3 linked regions of the Arabidopsis thaliana genome follow. The protein of the gene in region 3 interacts with the protein of the main gene of each other region in a pairwise test. Each region holds a gene or a part of one and is shown on either strand. Other genes may lie near its edges.

The links.
Region 1: the proteins of ATX1 (region 3) and HMA5 interact in a two-hybrid assay, tested with the Arabidopsis thaliana proteins (one study listed by BioGRID).
Region 2: the proteins of ATX1 (region 3) and ULT1 interact in a protein complementation assay, tested with the Arabidopsis thaliana proteins (one study listed by BioGRID).

The regions. Positions count from the first base shown.
Region 1 is NC_003070.9:23,525,757-23,531,790, reverse strand, and holds HMA5 (heavy metal atpase 5), read right to left. Parts: upstream 4,222-6,034; 5' UTR 4,137-4,221; coding exon 3,834-4,136; intron 3,735-3,833; coding exon 2,331-3,734; intron 2,243-2,330; coding exon 1,988-2,242; intron 1,859-1,987; coding exon 1,736-1,858; intron 1,666-1,735; coding exon 1,186-1,665; intron 1,105-1,185; coding exon 682-1,104; 3' UTR 565-681; downstream 1-564. Other genes in the region: AT1G63430 (Leucine-rich repeat protein kinase family protein), read right to left, coding at 5,340-5,675, 5,858-6,034. UniProt on the Arabidopsis thaliana protein: Involved in copper import into the cell. May play a role in copper detoxification in roots.
Region 2 is NC_003075.7:13,983,305-13,987,997, forward strand, and holds ULT1 (Developmental regulator, ULTRAPETALA), read left to right. Parts: upstream 1-1,718; 5' UTR 1,719-2,448; coding exon 2,449-2,735; intron 2,736-3,143; coding exon 3,144-3,488; intron 3,489-3,571; coding exon 3,572-3,746; 3' UTR 3,747-4,138; downstream 4,139-4,693. Other genes in the region: AT4G28180 (uncharacterized protein), read right to left, coding at 1-377; AT4G28200 (U3 small nucleolar RNA-associated-like protein), read right to left, coding at 4,504-4,584, 4,676-4,693. UniProt on the Arabidopsis thaliana protein: Putative transcription factor that acts as a key negative regulator of cell accumulation in shoot and floral meristems. Negatively regulates the size of the WUSCHEL (WUS)-expressing organizing center in inflorescence meristems.
Region 3 is NC_003071.7:13,456,369-13,464,101, forward strand, and holds the start of ATX1 (homologue of trithorax), read right to left. Parts: upstream 6,064-7,733; 5' UTR 5,814-6,063; coding exon 5,230-5,813; intron 5,075-5,229; coding exon 5,023-5,074; intron 4,922-5,022; coding exon 4,847-4,921; intron 4,744-4,846; coding exon 4,524-4,743; intron 4,373-4,523; coding exon 4,246-4,372; intron 4,139-4,245; coding exon 4,034-4,138; intron 3,880-4,033; coding exon 3,680-3,879; intron 3,560-3,679; coding exon 3,467-3,559; intron 3,353-3,466; coding exon 3,255-3,352; intron 3,163-3,254; coding exon 3,004-3,162; intron 2,208-3,003; coding exon 2,064-2,207; intron 1,982-2,063; coding exon 1,934-1,981; intron 1,813-1,933; coding exon 1,695-1,812; intron 1,621-1,694; coding exon 1,555-1,620; intron 1,444-1,554; coding exon 1,382-1,443; intron 1,283-1,381; coding exon 1,226-1,282; intron 1,133-1,225; coding exon 1,064-1,132; intron 949-1,063; coding exon 765-948; intron 463-764; coding exon 217-462; intron 19-216; and 1 more.

The sequences.
Region 1 (6,034 bases), on a different chromosome or scaffold from region 3:
GTACTTACTTGTGCTAGGGTTGCATATAAATTGTTCTCGTCCACATCCAAGACTTATCAAACCATTAACGTAATAAGGAACATTATTGATCCTGCGGCAATACGGACTCGGGATTGAGCATGTCGCACTAAGAGATAAATAATACGGTAGATTCTTGGTTGATGTCGAGGAATACGTGAAGAAGTTACAAATCTGGCGTCCGTTTTGGTTATCTAAATATTTGAATGCAAAGAGTATATGTGGCTGAAGCGAAGACCTAAAGGGAAACGATCTAATGAAATATCGACTGCGGATAATTGTTGCCAATAACTTGGATACAACGAGAAACTTAGCTACGGACTTCACAGGCAATCTCTTCTTGTCTCCGACGTTACTTGACTTACTCGAGACTCCTTCTCTATCTTTGTCCTTTTGCTGCCATGTCTAGTTCTCATTATCACGTTTCAAAGTATAATCCTAATCTTCTTATCTTTATTTGTGTCCTCTCTGCTCTTGTCTTATAATAAGGCAAATATTTTCCTTTTCCAAATAGGAAAAAGGGAAGCAACGAAAATATGGAGGCAAAGTAAATCAATTATTAGTTCATGGACTTAAATTCTAGATAAGGAGTGGAAACTTACTGTACGGTTTGTTTATTGGTTCATCAAATTCAATAACCGGTACTCGGTTTAGTTCAATTTTTTAAACTCGCTCCACCTGAATCTCCCGAATCTCCAGATGATCAAGCTTCTTAGGTCGCTTGTAGTTCTTAAGCAAGAGAGAGCAACACACAACACTAACAGAAGAAGCAGCCATTGCAGCACCTGCAATCCATGGAGGCAACCTGAAACGTGTCCCTGGGAAAAGCACTCCCGCAGCGATCGGTATCCCCATGAGGTTATACCCGAGAGCCCATACGTAGTTGAGACGGATTCTTGAGAACGTTTTCCTTGAAAGATCAATGGCTGTGATCACATCTTCTAAGTTGCTTTTCATCAGAACTATATCCGCTGCTTCTATAGCAATGTCTGTTCCTGCACCTATCGCCATACCTACATCCGCTGCCACGAGAGCCGGTGAGTCATTGATTCCGTCACCTACCATTGCCACAACATGTCCCGCAGCCTGCAATATATATTCATTGCTTTTATCAATTCCATATATGTGAACTTTTTAACATTTAGTGTGGAGCTTTTACTCAAGTACCTGTAATTCCTTGACTTTCTCTGCTTTTTGCTCAGGTTTAGCTTCTGCGATAACAGAGTCGATACCGACTTCTCTAGCAATTGAGTTTGCTGTTCCCCAGTTGTCACCAGTTACCATGATGCTTTTGATATTCATGGATTTTAGAATGGAGATGGCTTCTCGAGCACTCGGTTTTAGAGGATCCGAAACAGACAAAACTCCAATCAGTTCACTGTTTATGGAGACAAGAATTCCGGTCTGGGCCATATCTTCAGAGTCAGCTAGCAACTCTTCAGCATCATCTGGAATAATAACTTTATGATCATTCATCAGATTCTTGTTCCCCACCATAATCTCTCTACCTTTAACGGTGGCTTTCACTCCCTTTCCAGTGATGGACACAAAATCACAGGCTTCTGGCCAGGCAGGGTTCTCTTCGTCGTCTCTGAATTTCTTCGCGTACTCGACAATGGCCTTTGCTAACGGATGCTCACTGTTTACCTGATAAACAAAATAGCATCAACATAGTAATATTACTTTTGATGTAGGCCAGGAGTTTCCAAAAGTTTACCTCAGTTGCAGCAACAAGTTCATAGAACTCTCGAAGTACCATGTTTTTCAGGAGCTTTGTTTTCACAACAACGGGCTTCCCCATCGTGAGAGTTCCTGTCTTGTCAAAGACAATGCAATTTACCTACACCGTCATTGAAACTGTCAGGTTTCACCATTTCAGAAAAGAAATGATCCAGAGAACCTGAGTAAAGTATATACAGTATAGTAAGTTTACAAAGCCATAGACCAAGTTACTGCACACTAAACTAACCTTGTGTGCTCTTTCTAGGGCTTGGCCACCCTTTATCAGCACACCTTGGGATGCACCAACCCCAGTACCAACCATAACAGCAGTTGGAGTAGCCAGCCCAAGAGCACATGGACAAGCTATGACCATGACAGAGATCCCGAACTGAAGAGCTAGCTCAAAGCTATCCATCGAAGAAGGTATCCAGGATTCAGGGTACCAATGCAGTTTCCCAGCTAAGAACCAGGCAAGCCAAGTTGAGAACGAGAGGAAAATTACCTTCAACATTATAATCCAGTGAGTTTAAAAAATAGTTGTGCCTCTAAAAGACTAAATAATTTGTTTATCAACTGGTCAGATTACTCACAAGAGGAACAAAGAACTTGGAAATCCGATCAGCCAACTTCTGTACTGGAGCTTTGGCCAGTTGTGCGGACTCAACAAGTCGAACAATCTGAGCAAGAGCACTCTCTGAACCAACCCTTGTAACCTTAACATGCAGAACACCATTCTCGTTCAAAGTGCCTCCTATAACTGTATCACCCTTTCTCTTTGCCACTGGCCTAGCCTCTCCAGTGATCATACTTTCATTCACATGACTTTGTCCCCATATGACATAACCATCTGAAGCTACTTTAGCACCAGGAACAATTTTGATCACGTCATTCTTCTGTATCAATCGACCATCAATCTCCTCTTCACCAGTCACATTCCCTTCCTTGTCCAAACTCAACAATATCGCAGTGTCGGGTGCCAAGTTCATAAGCTTTGCGATCGCTTGAGATGTTTTTCCTTTAGCCATAACCTCCAAATATTTTCCTAGTATGATAAAGGAAATGAGCATGGCACTAGTCTCAAAGAAATCTACTCCCTTGAAATCAGGAGATGTTGCAGCTCTCAACACTGTGTATAATGAATAGAAATAAGCTGCATTTGTCCCCAGAGCAATCAGAACATCCATATTAGCCGATCCTCGGCGTAAAGCCTTGTAAGAGCCAGTATAAAATCTCCAACCAATGACAAACTGGACAGGAGTAGCCAAAACACACCTTATGATTTCTCCAACGGTGAGCATATTGATGACCTTAAACATGAGCAAATCTTTAATTCCAGGGATATACATAAAGACCATGGCTGTCAAAAACACCGGTACTGTAAAAACCAAACTCCAGAGAAACGACTTATAATACTGCTTAATCTCCCCTTGCTTTTGAGATTCTCTGCCTACCCCTCCCTCTGAGAATATTGTTGCCTTGATGTGACCACTATGACCAAAGACAGTAGACTCAATCACCTGAATGAAATTCCTCGGCCCCGTCACATCAGGTTTGTACAATACAGATATCTTATCAGTTCCATGGCTGATCTCAACACTTTGAACACCAGGAAGTGCTTCAAGCGACCTTTCAATAACCTTCATGGATTCATCAGTAAGCTCACCATCAATCTTCAAATCAATCTTGCTCACATCCTCGCCTGTACTTATAAGCACAGCTTCAAAACCAGCATTTTCTATCTCCTCCAATAGTCTATCATAGCTCGAGAGTCTAGGATCATAATGAATCTCAGCTTCTTCAATTGCTAAAGCCACATGTGCTCTTTGTACACCATTAACCGATTGCAAAACTCTTTCGATTGTTGAAGAACACGAAGTACAAGTCATACCATTAATTCTTATTCTACAAACTTGTCTCGACCTCTCATTCGCTTCATTTTCGATCAACGATGCTTCAAATCCAGCATCCTCAATAGTCTCACGAATTGTCTCCACCTATAAATCCACAATTACACAGAAAAAGAAAACCTAAATCCCAAATCAAGTCTTCTCAGAAACAATTCAACCGAGATTCGAGAGAATATCATAGCTTACATCGACAGAGTTAGGGTAAAACAGAATCTGAGCACGATTATTCAGAGCATCGATGACAGCATCGTGAATTCCAGGGAGACGCTTGATAGCCTTTTCAACAGATCCAGCGCAAGCAGAGCAAGTCATTCCTAACACTTGAAAAACCGCCCTGGAAATCGGATCATCGATCTCAAAAGCCGCCGTCTCCGACGATGATCCTCCGCCGCCGTCGCGAGACCTGGTAAGGTGCTTCCGCACCAGAGGGTAACGCTCGCTGAATCTCTCTTTCCTTATGCATGTAAGCGACAAAAGCTTCGTCGCCATGTAATCGATCGTCTTGTGCGCGAATCTTGTTCTTCTCGTATCGAATTTGAGTTTTTAAAAAGCTTTTAGGTTTATGGGAAATGATGAGACTTTTTGAAATTGTTTTGCTTTTTAAATTGGAACGAAGACGAGGGAAAGCGGTTTACGACATCTAAAATGACAAAAATGTGTGGGCCGATTTGTAAATGTTTAAACTATAGGGCCCTACCAAACAATACTTTACTTTTAAATTTCAACCGCCATATATAAAAAGAGAGAATTTCAACCTCAACAGATTAAATTCCAATTTTCTTTTAAATTATATAATTCAAATTTAATCGTCCAAAGTAACAACACCTTTGACTTTAAGGTTCGCTAAAAAAATGGATTGATTAGTGATGACAAAAAAAAAAGGATTGATTAGTGATATTATTACGACATGATGAAGTAATCTTTTTTTTTTTTTGATAATTAAGAACAGGCCTGATTAAGAATGATTAAGTAATCTTTACTTGTTTTTTTCTGTTTCAATAAAATAATATGACAATATACTAACGAAACTTGGCTAATCCATATCTGTTTTAACTAAAGGTAAAATGGAATCTATTTTACGTGTCTGTCTAATCTTTTATGGCACTCAACCTCGTAAGAAGAAGTCATACCAAAATTGAAGATTGAAAACAGTCAAAGCATTGATAAATGGGCCTATTGACTTGTGTGGCCCATTTAGACTGATACGAGGCTAAATGTGGGCCTTTTATTAAGTTGATCCATGCATTATGATTTATGAACTTCAACTACGTTTCTTCTTCTTCTTGGTCCGCAAACACTTGTCTGAGACTGATATTGATCTCAAATTGATTGCCTTGAAGCTTTTTCCAATGAGACTAATCATGTCAAACAATAGATACAATGCTCTATATAATATAAGATTAAAGGTTAGATCCAAACACACTACATTAACATTCTTCAACCTCTCATAGATTTTCAAATAATAGAGAAAATCTTTCAGAAACTATGTTCATCTCTTCATTTACAAACACTTTGAACCACCCAAAACTCAAAACTAATCAAGAACACAGACACACTCGTCAAGATCAGAGCAAAAAAAAACAATATCAAATGTTGTAATCAGTCGATTGATTTACAGAGTTGAGAGTTTGGTTTTTAGTTAGTTAGCATTGCATCATTCAACACTCGTTTTCTTTCCTTTCATCATTCTCATCACGAGTCAAGCGCCAGCTCGGCCCAAGCCAAAGAAGATGATCTAAGCTCCGCTGAAATAGACAGACTGATTCTGCTCTCCAATGTCTCGCATAGCTCTTGCACTGAGGGCTTGTTGTGATTGTTGTTGTTGTTGGTTGGGTCCCGGTTCAAGCATTGGCTAGCCACTTCGCATACCGTCTCAAGATCTTCTTGGTTAAAATGTTTCAGCTCTGGATCCACCAATCCCGACATTGCCTCTGGTGCTTCAAGGAACTCCTTTGCCTGCAAAATGCAATAGATACGTTTCAAATTCAAAACTTTTGCCACAAAAACCACATTTGAGGTGCGATATAACTAAACATGTGAACAAGGTCAAGACTTCCACATCCAGACGAAAACTCGTCTCTCCCTGAACAGACGACTCCATTCCTACTAGGCTAACAGTAACAAAGTTTTTGATATAAATGGTGAAAAAAGAGGAGGAGGAAGTAACTCAGTTTCAAGTGTTTAGAGAAACTGAGTTGTTTTTGTCTTACCCATTCAATTAAGAATCCTTTGTCTTTGCAATAAGGAGGTCTTCCACTGACAATTTCCAGCAAAAGAATCCCGAATGCATAGATATTACCCGACACATCAAGATATCGGCTCTCCATTCCGTTTGGGAGTACACATATCGAACCCTGGCTACTAATATTTCTCAAATTCTTTTCTGA
Region 2 (4,693 bases), on a different chromosome or scaffold from region 3:
GAGGTGGAAGAAGAAGGAGGAGGAGGACGGTGAGGTTTGCTGAGAGCATCGTCTTCGAGGATGGACGCAGCGGTAGCAGTTGTGGCAGTGGAGTAGCTGTGAGAGACAGAGACGCTGCAAATGTCGGACTTGCTGTGAGAGATCTCCGGAGCTGGAGGTGAGAGAGGAAGAGGAACTTGAGCTTCTGAATCTGAGACTGTTGGTGCGGAAGGAACGAGGTCGGGGACTGGGACAGGGACGGAGATGGGTATGGGGACGGAGACAGAGACTGATTGAACAACGACTTCTTTGACGGATTCTTCTTCGAGGGGTGGAGGAATTTGAGCGGCGGCGACTGGTGGAGCTGTGACTTTTCCGGCGCTGAAGCAGCATCCCATTTTCTTTCTACTTTTGCTAATTCCTCTCTCTCTCTCACTCTGCTCTCTCGAGAGTCGCGAGTCATATACTTGTCAACTTTAATGGGCCTCTTTCTCATGTTGGCCCATATTCACTATGGGCTCGATTATGCTCTTTTGTTTTATCCACTTTGATAAAGAATCTGATATTTGTCTCATTCATTCATATCTTCAAAGACAAAACGCTAGTGTTTGATTTTCTTTAAAATATTCAAAAGAAAATTATGCGGATGGACAAATATCTCGTTAGATAGCGACCCATCATCGTTGGGATAATTTCAACACACAACTGCCGATTGCCTTGGACAGGGACACCGGACATGTAACGACAGTAAGTAAAATGCTTAATACTTATACTACCAACATCTTCCTTTTGGTCGTCAAAAATGTAGTTGAAGATAAGAACTGACCATCATTTTTTAGCTCATCATCCATCCACTATGTTGCATTTACCTCATTGTTGAATAAGAACGCGTTGAGCAAGCTACTTTTTCATCTTTAGTTGGTTTTGTGTTAAATAAAACTTGAAGTGGAAAGAACCTAACATCGTTGCTGCAAACTTGATATTCGAATATTTATAACCACCATCTTAAAAACAAAAACAAAATATGAGAAGTTTAAAAACATGACAAAACTTTGAGTAGAAATCAGAAAGGGGCCAAGGCTCGTAAACTTCTAAACCCCAAGCCCATAATAAATGTTTTGAATCCATAAGTTCACTCCCATCCGCTACTCTTTTTTTCAGTTTCTTGGGAACAACTAGGAGGAAAGAGAGTTTTTAAAGTTCAAAGTAAAGATGTTGTTATACAAAAATTGTGTTGACAACTTATTCATATTCATGTCTCTGTAAAGATGTTGACATAATTATTTCACTTTCTTCAAAAAAAAAAACTGGCGACATTTTCTTTAATTCTCATTTATCCATTATGTACTTTTTGTTTTTGTTTTGCAACCCATCCATTGTGTATGTACTTAAGATAACAACAACAACAAATATACCATATATAAATCATATGGTCTACATACAACACTAGTATCCTCATCCGTATTAAAAAAATGAGTTCCTCGAACACATATAGCTACAAATATAGAGATATGACTTTGGGGTTTGAGCGCATTGCAGAATACCTAACAGGCATAGATGTCAATGACGTCGTCGTCATGTACTTGGTTACTAGTTGTTTTATAGACAACTAGTTGATTAAACCTTTTCTTTTAACAATTAAACAAACCAACCTTTATATATTTCTTCAACTTTTATTTTATATAAAAAAATAGCCAATAGGTGTGGTGGTGAAATGACTCGGTAACCAATGAATCCTGGTGAAAGGGAAGAGCCAAGAATTTGCAGAACCTCAAAGGAAAAAAAAAGGACCTTTGAAAATTACAAAATCAAGAACTTCTTGAAAAGAAGTAAGTACAAGAAATAGAAAAAGGAGTTATGACATTATAAAACCAAAGAGGAACCTGAAACAATTGACACAACCCTATTCCTCAACTTCTTCTCTCTTATGTCTTATCAAAAGCCTCTCACCCACCGCCTCTGTTCCTGCTCCTCTTATCAACCATAGAAATTCTCTCTCTCTTCCCTATATACAATACAATGTTATGTAGGTGATACATACTATAACATAGTTGTATATAAACATTAATATAATGGAGAGGTCCCATGCCCCCACGAGTTTTGTTTTGTTGGCCAGCTAATTCGCATCCTTTTTGTTTTGTTTGTATAAGAGAGTTTCTTTGTTACTTACTATAACCACAAGACCACAAGAAGGCCAAAGAGAGGCTAAACTAAAAGAGCTCTCTTTCTAATTTATTTCTCTCTCTTCTCTTCTCCCGAAAAGCCCTTAATAAGCTTTTGCTTTGATATCAGATCTCTCTTACGGCTTTTGAGATGCGTGCTCCTTTAGGGCTTTCCTTTTATACCCCAAAACGAGGCCTTTCCTTCTTCTCTCATCTCCTAATTCTACCCTCTTCCTCTTCCTCTTCCTTCTCTCTCTCTTCTCATTCTCCTCATACGCTATAAGGAGAAAATCTCAGAGAGAGAGTGATGGCGAACAATGAGGGAGAGATGCAATGTGGGTCCATGTTGTTTAAGCAAGAGGAGCTACAAGAGATGAGTGGGGTCAATGTTGGTGGCGATTACGTTGAGGTCATGTGTGGTTGTACCAGTCACCGATACGGCGATGCTGTTGCTAGACTTAGGGTTTTCCCCACCGGTGACCTTGAAATCACCTGCGAATGCACACCTGGTTGCGATGAAGGTCTCTCTTTTTTTGTCTCTACTGTCTCTTTCTCGTGTCTTTCTGATGCTTTTGGGAAAATGGGTTTTGATTTGTGTGCATGTTACATGTGAATGTGTGTGAGATTAAACGTTTGTCTCTGTCTAGCTACTATCACATTGGGCTGGTAAAGCTAGGGTCTTTAGCATGATTACATATTTATCAATGAGTCTTAGTGTATGCTAGCTAGATCCGTTCTTGTAGAAAATGAAATGACTTGATTTGCCACAGTAATGTTTTAGGCTGTCTGTTTATCTGTAAATGGTAATGCGTCTCTTTGTTACTGGCCAAGTGGTAGCTTTATTGACAAATGATATGTCTCGCTTAGCTGTACGTGTATGTCAAAGTTTGATGCAACCTAGTTCTTGTGGTATCTTGTAGCTAACAATTCCATCTCTAGCTTATTTGGTATAGATGCTCATTTAGAGCTCTCTTTGAAAGTAAAAGTGACTGACTTGAACAGTTTTGATTGTATGATGCTAGACAAGTTGACACCAGCTGCATTCGAGAAGCATTCTGGAAGAGAAACGGCAAGGAAGTGGAAAAACAATGTGTGGGTTATCATTGGGGGCGAAAAGGTTCCATTGTCAAAGACAGTATTGCTCAAGTACTACAATGAATCATCAAAGAAGTGCAGTAGATCAAACAGATCACAAGGTGCCAAAGTTTGCCATAGAGATGAGTTTGTTGGGTGTAACGATTGTGGTAAAGAGAGGAGGTTCAGGCTGAGGAGCAGAGACGAATGCCGCTTGCACCACAATGCAATGGGTGATCCAAACTGGAAATGCTCAGATTTCCCATACGACAAGTAGGTGTCTTTTGTTGTCCTTGTATGTACTTAAGTTTGATGCAAATGATGTATTATATCAATGAATGGTGTGGTGGTCGTAGGATAACATGTGAGGAGGAAGAAGAGAGAGGGAGCAGGAAGGTGTACAGAGGGTGCACACGTTCACCTAGTTGCAAAGGCTGCACTTCCTGCGTCTGTTTTGGCTGCGAGTTATGCCGTTTCTCTGAGTGTACTTGCCAGACTTGTGTCGACTTCACCAGCAATGTCAAAGCTTGAAGAAGGCAGTCCATTAAGAAAAGAAAAAAAAATGTCTGTCTCAGACTTTGTTCGTTGCATTTAATAACTTATTCTAAAACTCCAAACAGTTAATTATCTTATCTATGGGTTGTGAATGGAGCAATTGAAAAAAAAGTAGAAAAAGTTGATTTCCAAGAAGAACATGCAGACGAGCATGCCTGAGTTTAGTGCATGTCTAGATTTTTGGCTAGTGGCAGGGAAAAGTGTTATTAATAGTTTGTTGTTACTCTTTATTTTATTAGCTGTTGACAGCTTTGTGAGACGAAGTTGTCAATGGCACAGCTACTCGGTCTGTGATTTAGCCATTTAGGAGATGGGACATGGAAAGAGACATTTTCTTAATACCCAAAAAGCCCTGACGTCTTGTTTTGAACACAGTAACCATATGGGATCCCTTAAGTGATGTATACTTTTATTATCAACAACAAACATTAGAATCATAAAGACCAAGTCGTCACCAGGTAAAGAGGATACGAGAATAAATTCATCAGAAACATGTGAAACATGTGAAACGTGAAACCAAAGACGTAGAGGCATGTATGAACTTCAACATGTTTTTGTATCAAAAAAGTGTTTTAGAGTATAACTAGACTCATAAAGTAGTACATCGACTCCTGTTCTGTTACAACCAAAATTCATATCTTAAGGATCACATAACTGAAACCTGCATCCACAAATACGAGGCAAACATAGTGTTTCCTTCATCATACATACTAGACTACCTATAAATCAGAGATCAAACTATGAAATCCGCGGATTCATTCAGAGTCTTTCTCGCACGCCAATACACTCCATTGGCTGTCTCTGATGTTCCCAGCTGCAATAAACATCAGAAAGATTGTCAGTTAGCATACTTGACACTAAGTCATAGTATTGGTTTTGGTCAGGGTATTAAGAATCCACTTTACCTTTGTCTCCAATGAGTA
Region 3 (7,733 bases):
CATGAATTCCTGATTTCCCTGAAACAAAAAAAGAACCAACTTTTATAAGATTTTTCTGAAAGAAGCTTAGGATGTGACTAGATCATTCTGAAAGGAATCCTACAAATTATTTTTATCCTACAGAAATCCTACTATATTTTTTATCTTAGCAGAAGTTGAAAAGACCTGTAATATCTTTTAAGATTTACTGAAAGTTAAAGAATAACGAATGCTTACCAAATGCTAATCTCTTCCTGTATGTTTCCCTCATGTATCTATATTTCTCAGCCATAGAAAGAATGTTGCTTGGAGTATTCATCTGTGACACCTTGGATCCGTGAATGCTTTTGTACGTTGAAAACTCAAGTCTAGAGTAACCACCAATAACATATGGCTGATTCTCAACAAATAACCGCTTTGAAGAAGCAGCAGCAAGAGCTTCAGGTTCCTTTCGCCCTCTTCTGCCAAAACAATTATAAGGCTCTGCAACAATAGACGGAAATTATCATCTATACTGACCCATAGGATGCAAACACGAATAAAAGTAGAAAAGAATGGAAACACAAAAGCCTGAAATTTGACCTTTGTATCAAATCTAAAAAATGCTTGTATATAAAGTAAGAAACTGATATCTTAAGAGGATATGTAAGAATATGAAAGAGAACAAAACACACATGGCCGTATGCAAGGTAAAAGAATAATGATGAAATAATCCTGTCCCAAAAGTGTGGTGTGAATCTAAATTTTAATCTTAGCATCCACAGATAAACGCAGTAGCTGCATACCTGTCCGAGCACAGCCAGATGGATTAGGTGGTGGGAGATACTCAGAAGTTTTATGAGTAGCGGATTTGATCCTGTCTTCTGATCCTAGGCAGGCAGTTGATGTTTGTCGATGTCGCTTGCAGAATGAAAGCATGCGGATACACTGATCTGCTTCTTCACCCTCCACTGACATGTCATTCTCAAGCTACATGGAGAGTCAGGAAAGCAATAATCAGTTAGAAACATCTCTTTTGTGGACTTGCTGTGTTAGAGTACATGTGTGTAAGTGGGAAAGAAATTTTTTTTATTCCCTAAGGTACCTCAACACAGAGACCAGCAGCTCGCGCGCAGAGTGGATGATATGCCACGCGACAAGAATTGTTTGAACACTGAAATGTAGTCATTTTAAAATTATATATATCAGCTCTTGAACAATGCATAAGAATGATTCAGTTTTCTCTTAACATAGAACGAAATCTTACTTGGATACAAGCTCCATAAGATACCCCGCAGATGGTGCACATTAATTTCCAACGATCCTAGTTTTAAGAGTAGAGAAAAAGAGGAAGAGGGATAAGAGTTTTGAAAAGGCCACAGTACCAAGGTAAAGGAATCCGAACAAGAAAATAAGTACGTACCTTGCTGACTTTATTCACCCCATCAATAGGTTCCATCTTCTTGACATCAGATAAACATGTTTCTGAATAAAATAACAAGTGTTAATTTGTAAATAGGAAAGTAATAGTGTAATACGGCCTCCTATTAGTAGGAAAGCAGACTTATACAGAACAACAAATCGTTAAGATTGAACCTGGGATCCATATAGCACAAGCCAGATGAGCCCAGCGACCATCAGTTGTCGGCTTCATAGCACCCCCTAAAAGAAGTTTCAATTATTCACTAATGAAAGCACATATAGACTCCATACACCAAATGGTACGGTAAAATTACCTACTACAGGACAAAGACAACACCGTGGAGGCATATCAGGAGCACCAGGACGACATAAGTTGCATAACCACAAAGCACCATCACAGGGTTCTAGCTCTCCATAGCATTTAGCATGGACCTAGTAGTGGACCAGGAATTCAAATTGAGTCATACCCAAGAGAAAGAAAGAGCACAAGGCACTAAAGATATACATCTAAGAGGTATATGATAGCTAAAAAAGCCCAGAGCATGAGCTATACCATCATTCTACATTTATCACATTGCAGGAACAAATTGTTCTCATACTCCTGCAGACAAAAAATATATAAATCAGAACTAACTAAAGAGAAACGTTTGAAATCTCATGTGAAACAAAAAAAAAACCTTTACCTCATCCATGTGGCAGACATTGCACTTATCGAGATCTTTCCAGTCAACACGGACAGGTCGGTAACCAGTAGGCTGATTTTGATGCCTTCCCAAACTATTTTTGCACATGGAAACATGGGACGATGGTCTGGATTTTGATAAATCCTGCTACGTAATGGTATATTAGGGTGAGACACATATTAAGTGTAGACACTAGAAGCTAAACAATAATGCAATTGTATAAAACAGGGCGCCGGCAAGCAGTACATAGGGAATTAATTATAAAAGTTTGCAAATTCTAGCAACCATCTTGATAGGTATCTGCCTAATGAAATAATATAAGGTAATATGTCCTACAAAACGAGTTTCGCTATAAAGACTCCAGAACAGAATTCTACTCTTTAGTTTCACTTAAACACAAATTTTCTTTCAATCAATAGACCAAATGCACATATTTTATCCTTAGAAACTCACTGTAAATACTTGTTAAGCTGGCTTCGATTAATAACTGTTAATTTAATTCATACAGTTTTCTTACAGAAGAGAAAGAAACCGTAACAATTAAAGAAAAGAAGCCATAGTCACTAGGCAGAAATGATTATTTCGTAGGTGAAGTTAGTGTTGTCTCATTGATGAAGATGTGATTCTAATATGCCTTTAGACCGGAAATAGCGAATTAGGCTACCCATAAACCAATTAGCAAAGAGCTGCATAGAAATATTTAGTGCACAAGCTTAAATGTCTTACAGGAAAACTTGGTTTGTGCATCAAACATTCATATTAAACATAAATGAGACCCGCTTACACGTTTTAGAGATAAAGCAAAAGCAAGGGTACCACAAAATATTCAGTGTCCAGACAATTATATGATTTTTATGAGACCAAAATGCATGTGCAAGCAGATTATCATGAAAACACATGCACACCACCACAAATAATTTTACATGCAATGACAAGGTACCTGTACAAGTTTAATGACTTCTGGGTTGGAGAGACCAAACATGTCTGTACCAGATCCATTTAGTTCTTCACCCAAAATATTAGGACTGTCAGAATTCTGGACCTTTTTTATCCTATTATATATTTTGTTCCAGCAGGCCGATGGAGTAGGCCCTTTGAACTGCCAAAAAATTAGTTACCGATGTTAGCCAGAGATAGATTCTTGACCTGAAAGTTCAATAAAACAGATACTAATAGATATGTTTAACTCACCTGCTCTCCACTATCTGCAGTCACTATAAACAGCGGATGAGTCTTTGTCTCGGCATCTCTGAGCACTTCCATCTTGTACAAGGCAGATGCACTATGATCTGCTTAAAACCAAAAGCAACAACCCACATCACATTGAGAACTAATCACAATTAACCAAATATGGAAAAATACCTGATTTATAAGTAAAAGCCAAAAACTGATTAACAAATAACCTGTGAGTGATGTGAACTTTCTCATCGCCGTATACCCTTCAGGCCAAATATGATTCTCATCCTTGAAAAACTGAGAGTCTGTCACAACCTTTCCTGTAAGACAAGTCATACGCCTATATATTATCATTGGAGTTTTCCTATAACCAACTATAAATAATGAACCATAGAATGAAAGATTATACACCATACTTATATATAAGTTTCATGGCTTACCAAGATTTATTATTAGCAGATCCCCTATTATATGCCGGAAGTCTACATGTTCTGTTGGTCTCAACCACACTTCTCCATCATTAAGAAGATCACCACCCGAGTTTCCCTCTTCTGTACTATTAGCCATATCGGAATCAACAGAATCAGCTCCCTTTTGAAGTTGACTCATTCTTTCTGGAAGCCTGTGTGCCTTCAGATACCTGAGTGAGGCAAAATAACAGAAATTTCAGGACAGGTAACATGTCCAGGTTTCAAAATGAAACATCATGAAGAAATGATTGGTCTAATTGTTAATGCAACATGTACTGGAAAGTCAAGAAAGCAGAATGCCAAAGAAAAGCGAGAGGGACTTGCATTTTTGCTTCCTGCATGCCCTCTTCAAACCGAGGTTGTTTGCACTTCAGGTGAGATGGCGAAAGAAGCCCTTTGATAAATGAGATTGCTTGCTTTACTTTTATTCTATAAAACCAAAGGATGTTAACTTCAGCTTGATAATGTGTAACATTGATCTCAACATCTCAGTAGAAAAACGAGATTTTTTAAGTATATAGGAAACGCTGACTAACCTAGCAAAATCATGAGTTCCAAAAAATTGGACCAAGAGTGATCCTCCTCCAGATACCTTGTTGTTTAGACCTTTCCGCTCTCCGATAATGGATTCGTCTACAATAACTGCTGGCCACATAGCATGACCTGTCCGAATAGGAAAGCAAATGCAGTTCTATGGAAGTCAGTAGGTAGTTTTCTTTGTCTACATGCTTCCAACAGCATCAACTTGCTGATAGCATAAGGAGGTATTTTTTTTAATATATGAATAAAAGGTGGAAATCAGTTTAAGACAAACCAGCTAGTTTCGCCCATACAATGTCTCCAGGCTCAAAATCTTGGCATTCGTCCAAAGTAGCTGCCAATACAACCATCTCATCGTAATCACGGCCATCGACAGTCACATTACTAGTACAAAACTTCAGATGTAATAGCTCCATCTCTTCACGAGAAACCAAAAATTTGATCATTTCACGATCAAAAACTATATCCTCATCACATCCATCCCTATATTTGACCTAAGGAAGAATTTAATCATGGTTAGAGGAACAAGCTTTTACATATATCATAGCTCAAAGAACTACCCAACTCATAACTCAAGTAGAGTAGAGAATTACTTACAGTGTAACGCTTTCTCTCTGCACTATATCCAACAATGGAACCTTCATACCAAAGAGCGTCCAGCGGCCAAAAAACCTAGGGATTAAACGACAACCAATTGTTAAGATGTCCCATTCACAAAAAAAGTGGAAAATGCAATAGCTTAAAGTGGACAATTGTCTAGTTAAAACACTCGCCTTGCATTGCAGCCCTATGAAACTTGTAGGATCCACACCATCATAACTCAACCTGCCACATCAAAACTCCATCATAAGGAGTCTGCCCACTAACAATAAAAGGTCTTCAAAGTCTGAACTAAGAAAATCATCAGTGCAAAACAACAGCGCAACAGTTTCAAAGTCCATGAATTTCAACAGTTAAAGAGATGATAGGTAGACCCTAACCTGACCCATTTCTTAGCTGAACGAGAAGCCAGAGTCGCCTTGTCCTGATTCTTGCTAGAAGACCCCTTCCTTCGGGATGACCCATTTTGCTTATTCCCACTAAACGCATTGTTTTCCTTACACCTTCTTAAACCAATCGACTCCATACCCGATTTCACCAACTCACAATTACCAATCTTCCTTCTCTTCTTCTCCTCAAAACAATCAATTTCATCAAGCTCCACACTTTCAGTCTTCACAGCCACCGCCTGATCTAGTAAACACTCCCGTAGCGGCCTCTTACGGCGACGATAGTAGACGCGAACAATCTCAGGACGCTGAATCCGCAACTTATAATCATCCGAACGACAACAATCGTCACTAGCACTAACACCGCTACCTTCAATCTCGAATTGCTCAATCATCGGAAGCTTCTGGGCCTTAACCTTCTTAGACATCAGACTGTGAGAACCAACGGCATTAACACAGCACAATGCCGATGAAGGAATAGAGTAGATACTCTCAATAGAATCGTAGCGAATCGGAGCTTCCACTAGATCGTGGACATCAATTTCGATCTGGGTTTCGTTAGAAAAACACGCCATGGAGATTATTCGGAGGGAGAAAGCACAGGGCTTCGTAAAGGAGACACCTTTGCTCACTCTCTCTATCCTTCTTTCACTAAACCCCCAAAAAAATTGCTAGGGAATTTCGTGGATTGGAGAAATTAGGGTTTAGGAAGAAGAATCAGAGAAAAAGGGAAAAAAACAGATCCTTTGGAGGGAGAAGCTAAAAGGCTTTTTTACGTTTCCCGCCGGGTTTATTAAGATGATGACAAGTCTTTCAGATCTATTGCTCTGTCTCCTTATATATCTCCGCATACATACATTCATATATAGTGTGTGTGTGTATGTATATAAAAATTAATATCTGGTTAATAAAAACATATAAAACTAAAAATAAAATAAATAAAAATTCCACTTGTAGAAAAAAAAAATCCCGGTTGTCATGTATTTTATTTTCAACAAGAGTCTTTTTTTTTTGGGCAAAATTCAACAAGAGTCTCTGATTCTTTTATATAGTTTTGTTTTCAGATAATTGTTGTTTACCAGTTTTTGTGTAATCTTCACTACATGGAATTTGTTTTGTTTTTTTTCAGTTCATACGTATATTTTTGGGTTTTTAGTCTGTTAAGTATAGTGTATAAGACATATTTTTCTGGTTAATCCAAATTAAATTCCATTGGAACAAAAAGACAAGATTGACTAGAATTTGAATGAAGGTAGAAATCAACCGAATTGCTCATAAATTCAATTATTGAATGGGGTTCTTCAAGTAATACTACCTATTTTCTCAAATGAGCTAGAGAATTTTCTTGTGAGGAAATTCCAACGATTTGCTCCCTTGGTATTACTTGTTTTGGATTGTTCTGAAGTTTTCTAGAATAATATAATATTTCAACCTAAAAAGCTTAGTTTGTGGATAAATAATCAAACATATGTTAAAGATTTTTGTGATAGATACAAGATTTTTTCTATGAATCGGACAAGTGGAACTCTAATCCAGTTTTTAAGGTGTGATAAGTTGAAGTAAAGATATGAGGTTAAAAGAAACATTTCAACTCACTTCCCTTATCTTCATTCTTAAATGAACGGCTATTCATAGCAATTACTTGATTTGGATTCATAAACCGAATATCTGTCTAGTAGGAGTAGTCTTTACTTAACTTAACTAAAGAACAATATACGGTTGACTGTAGTATATTAGTATGCTTTTGACACATGGAAAATACCGCTGCTAACTTGATCGCATCCAGTGACTTTTGCAGTGTGTCATATATGTTAATAAGGATGTAATCATCATGGTTAACAGTAGTTGCATTTTCTTATGCGGTAGCATACAATGCTCACTAGTGCTCTAAATTGATCCACATAGGGATGCTATACACGCTAGAGACATATATATTTAAAAGTAAGTAAGGTTAAAATACTTGCTTTCATGAGCTTCAAGATAGGTGATGTGTGTACCTCCAAAGTTCTTCCCATCAACTAGGCATTAGAATATGTCGTTTCCTAGATACTTGGGGCAGATTGGCGGCTTATCAGCTTTTCGGATGAAATTTTGATACTTGGACAAACTGGCAGCTGATGGATGGAACTTATTGTCAAAGTATCCATATAGCGTTTGTTGGTTGGCTTTCTCTAGATACCCACAAAATTTACACAACACATATGGCCTATGGTCACAAAATTCTTTGATGTCATCTAACATTGGGATTCATCATCGCTTACATGATTTACGTCCATATATACTTGGACATAAATATTATGGAATGAACAATTTTAAATTTTCATCAAAATACCAACCACACTCACTTAGGATTATGACCAGAACAAATAAAATAATACATACTTGATTAAAAGGAGAAAAACATTTTTTTATGTCTTTGTTAGTTTTTATTTTAAACTATATATTCATCAAAAAAAAAGAGGGAAAATCACATTTTCAGACACATACATGTCCAA